2 linked regions of the Bombyx mori genome follow. The protein of the gene in region 1 interacts with the protein of each later gene in a pairwise test. Links are inferred from orthologs where the notes say so. Each region holds a gene or a part of one and is shown on either strand. Other genes may lie near its edges.

What was found.
Region 2: the proteins of programmed cell death protein 2 (region 1) and RpS2e interact in a two-hybrid assay, tested with the Drosophila melanogaster proteins (2 studies listed by BioGRID). The link is inferred for Bombyx mori from reciprocal best matches to the Drosophila melanogaster genes Zfrp8 and RpS2.

What each region holds. Positions count from the first base shown.
Region 1 is NC_085128.1:8,869,578-8,873,973, forward strand, and holds the start of programmed cell death protein 2, read left to right. Parts: upstream 1-1,529; 5' UTR 1,530-2,012; coding exon 2,013-2,192; intron 2,193-2,265; coding exon 2,266-2,442; intron 2,443-4,396. Other genes in the region: tRNA-dihydrouridine(20a/20b) synthase [NAD(P)+]-like, read right to left, coding at 1-83, 454-575.
Region 2 is NC_085119.1:4,434,625-4,438,074, forward strand, and holds RpS2e (ribosomal protein S2), read left to right. Parts: upstream 1-1,413; 5' UTR 1,414-1,439; intron 1,440-1,738; 5' UTR 1,739-1,739; coding exon 1,740-2,258; intron 2,259-2,453; exon of another isoform or gene 2,454-2,455; coding exon 2,456-2,722; 3' UTR 2,723-2,763; downstream 2,764-3,450. UniProt on the Drosophila melanogaster protein: Component of the ribosome, a large ribonucleoprotein complex responsible for the synthesis of proteins in the cell.

The sequences.
Region 1 (4,396 bases):
TAAACTCATTAGCTCTAGCTTTAGAATTTTGACAAAAAGAATCTGCCAAAATCATTGGAGTGAAACATAGATCTGCATTAAAACTGAAAAATAAGAATTATATGAGACAAAATACTAATGAGACTCCACCAATTTATTTTAATTAACAATTAAAACTCAATTGAAACATTTCCAGAGACCAGCACATTCAAAGCTGCAGTGCCAGTACAAACAGATTTCAATTACCTTGCTATCAGACACTAAACATATTAAAATTGGTCATGTTTGTCCTACTGGTCGGAATTAACTTCCGTTGAAAGAGCAGAGGTAGTGATTTGTGTAGGTAAATTGTAAGCTGATAGATGGACGATTATACTACAATCACTTAGTGTGATGGCTGAGAGCAGACATACGACAAAAAATCAATTACAATTTCGAAATTAGATAAATCAACAAGTCGTTAAATAGACTCACTTTCTTACTAAAGTTCTAAAATGAACTTTGCTGTATCTGACCATCGGGGCACATACTTTCAAATATGTTTTATTTATTTTGGCATCAGCAAATTTTTCCATAATATCGCAGATTTCTTTCATCGTTACAGAGTTTACAGACTGACTTTACAATTCTGATATCTACTAGATATATTAAATTTTATTATTTGTTTACAAATAATAAGTACACCACATTGTTTACATTCTTCACAAAAGTGACAAAAGTTAAAGGTTAGGTTAGTGCCGTTCTTAGTACCCATGTAGATCGTATGGTCCCGTTTTCTTTGCCGGTCTGAATACCTACAGAATACAGGGATCAACACTTAATAATTTTTTTTAAATCACACTTAATTATTTCTTTTTAATATTTAATGGCCGGTATTCTGTTATTTTAGCCTAATATTCATTTTAATAGTACAATTAAACGTAAATGTAATTAATTTGCTTGCACGGCTTCTCGACTTTTCTTATAAAGAAATTGTAATTCTCAGTAAATTCTCATTCTTTTACTGAGATTTTTTCATTTTATCTTTGCTAACACCTGCGCTGTCTTCCTCCTCTCATTTCATTTAAAAATAAATATTAATTATTTCCTTTCCGTTTCACTCCTCATTCAAATGATATGACTTTTGCTTTTTATTGCCCTGGATTTAGCATTAAGGATTAAGTAAAAGGCATAATACTCTTGGCTAAATTTAGCCTACTAAATTCAGTAGCAAGGATGGTTTCTGACTTCTGACTGACTAAATCATATAGAAGCCTAATTAGAAACGCATTTAGGAAGGTGTAGTCGCATTTAGTTACATAATGGTTTCAGTCCTAACTCTCCATGCGTAAGGACGTTTTAGTTTGTTTTTTACTTCCGAATAAAGTATTAATTTCGGTCGCCTTTATTTAATGTGCCAGACATTTATAAACAGCCCGAAATGTTTCAGGGATAATTTTTGTCATCAGGGGTTGGGATATTGAGGAACTAAATTTTAAATCTTGATACGAATTTCAAATTCGTAATTCAATACGTAAAATGGTGGACATTTACTGAGACTTTTTCAGTGAACTGTTTGAAGGATCCCGAGAAGTTACGTCTAGCGGCTTTGTTTCATTTTCCCACATTTGTGCACTTTCGAAGATATTAAACAGTTAATAAACCACCGTTATAACCCATTTAAACCTGAAGAAACTATAAATAGACAACATAAAACAAATCACACAACTTCACTCCTCGCGTTCCCGCCAAAAACTTGATTTAAATTAGTGTATCAACATGCACAGATAATTACTTACATTGATTAGCTTAAATAGGTAGGTATGTTGTATGTACCTACCTAGTATATACCTAATGTACCTATGGATTTACTTAAACTAACCTAAAATGTGCGTGTTGCGATTCTCTTTTAACTTTTAAACTCTTATTATAGATAGCAGTAACACACGAGTCTAATAGATTTGTTTATTTTACTTGAAAAATGAAAAACGTTTTTAACACTACATAAAAATACTGAATTGGATTTAATATAACACAGTTTTCGTTTAATTTAAATGGAGCCCAGAAAAGTGGATATAGGCGTTTTAGAAGAAAAACCTAGTTGGCTTTTACATCCAAGGTTCTTTCCAAGCAAAATTGGCGGAAAACCATCCTGGCTTAATCTGCAGGATCTACCGAAATCTAGTGAGCTTTTGTGTAAAAAATGCCAGGATCCTACAGTTTTCTTGTGTCAAGTACGTCATTTTAAACAATATTAACAAAGCATATTGAAAATATTTAAGGTCATTATTATAACTATTCTTTCAGGTTTATGCTCCGTTTGAAGATGTAGAAGATTGCTTTCATAGAACTATATTTATTTTCATTTGTAAAAATGGAAATTGTTGCAGTAAAAACCACACTGATAACTTTATTGTACTACGCTGTCAGCTTCCTAGAACGAATGATTTCTATTCCTATCAACCATATGAAGAAAAAGATGAGGTTTGATTTATTAACAGTGTTAATTTTGAGTTGTTTGATTATTAAGAAGCTTGAAAAATCTATCCCAGTCATGGAATAATTCGCTTTAAATCTTACCAGCAGGTGTCAATCTTCTTGTTGACATCCCTCAAATGGTGTAGAATTAATTGTGGCATTCAAGTTGCTCTAGTCAGTGGCCTAGAAGGTGCTGTACTTATTGACTTCAGAAGCTGGTGGAACTATTAACCCAACAGTTTGAATCCATCACTGGGACCCAGAAGTATCAGTTTTGACTACCGTAAACTTTTAATTTTTTTTGTACAGGCTTAAACCCAGCTTGAATTACACAAATTTCCTTAGACATTCTTGACCCTCTTGAGATAATATGCTCTTTGAATACTATCTTTTGCTGCCTAAGTGATAGCAGTTACACAGTGAAATGAAGTTTAGTTATTTAGCCTCTGAATGCTCCTTCACAATTTAGTATCTTCAATTAGGGTTCATATTAAAATTCATAGCGTTATATAATCTAGGCAGAGAGCATCTTCAGTATGCTGGTTATTGTACCATATGTTGTTCAGTCAAAATAAATCTCCAAAACTATTCATGTTGTAACCTCTAAGGGTTCTCTGGTAACCAATGTACACTGAGAAGGCTGTTAGCTCCTTCAAACGTCTCCCAAATCAGATTCTCTTTTTGCTAAAAAACACTATCTTTTAAATGGAGTGGTGACATTTGATCCAATCATCACCTCCCTGATTTTAATATTGCCATATGATTTTATATCCATCTGTTTCAACATCTGTCACATCCTTGTTTTGTTTTATTAATTAACTAGAGACTGAAGCTTACCAAAAGGATCCAATTAAATTATATTTGAAATAATAATAATTAGATTTAATATTATATTTATATTGTAGTTAGATAGAGAAAACACGGGATTATAACTATTCACTTAGGTTTGTAGATATTTTTCAGTTCAAACTACAATTGTATCTTTTGTATATGCAGCAATTTTTTATGAGGCAAAATAAATACTATCCTACTTTTCTAAATACCAATTGATTTTTTTTTGAAAACATCACTAAACTAACCATTTTTAAAAATATCTGATTGATTACTAGAATTGATGTCTTAAACTGCCAAGCGTATATCGATCAGGCGTTTACCTGCGGATCGAATAGTAAACACTCCACGTAGTCCTAAACACGTAATTTCGGATCCTCCCGATCCACTATCAGTGCTTTTAGGTACCTCAAGCACTGGTCACCGTTCTCGTCGAACCCATGGCTTGCGACGAAGGGTAAGACGGCCGGTGCATTCGTGTCGAACAATATACCGGTGTTCGAATCCCGCAGGCGTGTACCAATTTTTATTATGAAATACGTCCATACTACTTCCACTTGTTCTTTGACTTCCAAGGTGAAGCAATAACATCGTGTAATAAAAATCAAGCTCGTAAAATTATAAAGTACATAATTACTGGTGGTAGCACGTCTTAGAAGTTTGCACGGGTAGCTACCACCACCCCACCTATTTCTGTGAAGCAGTAATGCGTTTTGGTTTCAATGGTAGGGCGGCCGTTGTACTGTTAAAACAGACCTTACAGCTCACGTATCGAGGTGGGTGGCGCCGTTTACGTTGTATATATCTAGGGACTCCCGTTACCACTTAACACCATGAGGACCGTGAGCTCGTCCACCCATCTAAACAATAAAAAATAAAAAATACCCATAGACATAGCCCACTGAGTTTCTACCGGGTTTTCTCAGGTAGGTTCTGCGAGACACTGTTCTTGATACAGCTAGTGTTAGCCACGTCCCCAGGTTAGAGCCCCGTAAGCTCACATACTCGCTGGTGAATCTAGTATGGCCCTCGAGGTCACTAGAATAGGTAGGAAAAAAAAGAAAGGCATATATGTATACCTATATCTGCACCATCATAAACAGAGTCACTCATTCAGAATATGCTACTA
Region 2 (3,450 bases), on another chromosome or scaffold:
AAGATTTTACTATACTACTACTGCGTTTTTATAGTCTCTAGCCTGATGTTGCCTTTTCGTATATTTTTATAGCGTAAAATCGTGAAATATAAAACACACCGAGAATATAAACGTAGAAGCTTTTGAAATTCACATGGGTGCACAGAATGATGAAGATACTGTAGATTGATTGAATTCTTTAAAGTAAAATCTTGCAAATGACCACAAAAAGTGGGATTTGAAATACTGTCAAAAACGTATGTTTGGCATAATAATATGCGAAATTATAAATAGGATTTGCCCCTGCTGAGAATGAAAAAGAAAATCCAGGGGACGTGGCCACCCGGAGGAAGACGTTATGGCACAAGTATATCGTTACGTGTATGGACTATGGCTTTAAGATTTAATAAAAATAATAAATAAAAAATAATTTTTTTTAAGGGATCTTTCGACATGGTAACTAAGACCTTTAGGTCATAAATAAATGGTCTGTGCTTCGTAGCGACTAGAGCTACGCAGCACAAATCACTCCCTACGAAATGTGAGATTTTTTCAGTCTACGAGACTATTTCTAAACGAACTACTTTAATGATAGAATAGATGCATGAGAGTTTGTCGACTGAAATTAAGTAAAGTGGTGTCGTTTTTTGTTTTTTTTTCGTTTACCTTTGCTGATAGCATTGAGAGGCTATGTCAGCGTTATCTGACGAATTGGTTTCGACTTTTTTCTAGGATGATTCTATGTCCAACTAGATTAAGTACTTATGATTGTACAGATACGACGTTTCTGAAAATTTAATTAGGTTGGTGTATATAGATAAATTTGGCTCTCTTTATTATTTAAATCTTATCAGAAATACAGATCGAATCACGTGTAACTGAATTAAATAAACACAAAAAAATAGTTACATAAACATTTTGAAGATTCAAGTAGGATCAAAGATATTCAACGCAACACATTGTTGCACAACAAAGCACAATGTGCCTTATTGCGAAAGTATAGTGAAAAAGTTATTCTATTACTCATTACTCTTGGTCTCAGCACTGACTCAACAATTACCGCTCTCTCTATCCGCTTTCTTATGCATCTTTTTATTAATAACGTCGATAATTGAGGAATCCAACCTCACCGTGTACCCAGATAGTCTTAGCTATCCATATATATATTATTATTAAAAAAAAAAACCGCATTTAGAAGAAAGATGTGTTAGTAGTTTAGTTAGTCCTTATTAATCATTATAAAACTTGAGATTTTGATTTAAAAATATTTTAGGTTTCTAATTAATTAAAACACACCATTTTCGGATCGAGTTTTTAAAAAAATCGAGGGTTTTAAAAAAACATCGATAATCTAATGACAGCACATTCGATTTTCTCGATACTTTGTTAGGCTCTATTGAACTAAATAAGTTCAAACGGCCATTTTGTGCTTGACTGTCTATCAGAGCCCATCGTTCAACGTAAGTTTTAGAGTTAAATGAATTTAATATCCCAATTATTTTTAGTTTTAACTTTTTAGTTATGCAAGTGTTTTGTTTACTGAGAAGACTCAATTTAAGCGTCCATCGTCCAAAGGATCTCTTTTCAATTTTCAACCCCTCACCACGTGGTTTATGATGACACAATTTTTTTAATTCATTCGTGGTATCTACCATAGTGTTAGCACAGTGATGGCCTTTATGCGTCTGATAAATAGCTATTCTTTGTGTAAATTGTCTATAATTTAGTAATTATTAACAAGATAAACTATAAATTCCAGAATGGCGGACGCTGCTCCAGCCGGTGGACGTGGCGGTTTTCGCGGCGGATTCGGATCACGCGGTGGAGATAGAGGCCGTGGCGGTCCTCGTGGACGCGGTCGTGGTCGCGGCCGTGGTCGTGGGCGCGGCAAGGAAGACCAGAAAGAGTGGGTTCCTGTCACCAAACTCGGCCGTCTTGTTCGCGAAGGAAAAATCGACAAACTCGAGAGCATTTACTTGTTTTCTTTACCAATCAAAGAATTCGAGATCATTGATTTCTTCCTCGGCCCGTCCCTGAATGATGAGGTTCTTAAGATCATGCCTGTACAGAAACAAACACGTGCCGGACAGCGCACACGTTTCAAGGCATTTGTTGCCATTGGCGACAACAACGGTCATATTGGTTTGGGTGTGAAGTGCAGCAAGGAAGTCGCCACTGCCATTCGAGGCGCTATTATCCTTGCTAAGCTGTCAGTTCTACCAGTCCGAAGAGGTTACTGGGGTAACAAGATAGGAAAGCCACACACCGTCCCTTGCAAGGTAAATGCCACTTCTATATTTAAAAAAATATTTAAATTGTATAAATGATGATAACATTCTAATCATTTCATTCGTGGTATCCTCTTGAGGTTTATCCTGTGAAGCTTTTGAACGTCTGAATTAATTTAATTGTGAAATGAAAACATAAAATTGGTTTCGATCGTTTTAATAAATCAAACAAACAATTGTTTTTTCAGGTCACCGGCAAGTGTGGTTCCGTAACAGTCCGGCTGATTCCTGCCCCTCGTGGTACTGGTATTGTGTCTGCGCCAGTTCCTAAGAAGCTTCTTCAGATGGCTGGTGTACAGGATTGCTACACGTCAGCTCGTGGTTCAACTGGCACCTTGGGAAATTTTGCTAAAGCCACATACGCTGCCATTGCCAAGACATATGCCTACCTCACTCCTGACTTGTGGAGGGATATCCCGCTGACTAAGTCTCCATACTCAGAGTTCAAAGTCTAAGACAGTCATTGTATAACAACTGAATAAAAGAATTTGTCTTACTTTGTACTTTTATTGATTAATATTTTCTTTTTTCTATTTTGTTAGCACAGAGACATCTGCTGCTGGACATGTCTTGTGATTTTTATTGATTAATAAGCTTAAAAAGATATAAACTTCACTTGCAAACTATAAAATTAGCTTAAAACTATTTAATATATTGAAATAAATTAAATAAAGTACTAATAATAAGTACCCTAAAAAATAATAATGTCATTTTAGCTTTGAATTTCTTTCAAAGTTGAGTCTTCAAGATTTTTTTATTTATTAGCTTAGATGGGTCAACGAGCCCACCTGGTGTTAAGTGGTTACTGGAGCCCAGACATCTACGACGTAAATGCGCCACCCACCTTGAGATATAACTTCTAAGATCTCTGTATGGTTACAGCGGCTGCCCCACCCTTCAAAACACCGAAACGCATTACTACTTCATCACGGCAGAATTAGGCAGGGGAGTGGTACCTACTCGCGCGGACTCACAAGAGGTCCTACCACCAGTTAATACGCAAATTATAAATTTGCGGGTTTAAATTTTTATTACACGATGTTATTCCTTAATTGTGGAAGTCAATCGTGAATATTTGATGAGTACGATTTCGTAGAAAAATTAGTACTCGCCTGGGATCTGTACACAGGTGCATCGCTCAACACGAATGCACTGTACGTCTTATCCTTTAGGCCACGACTTC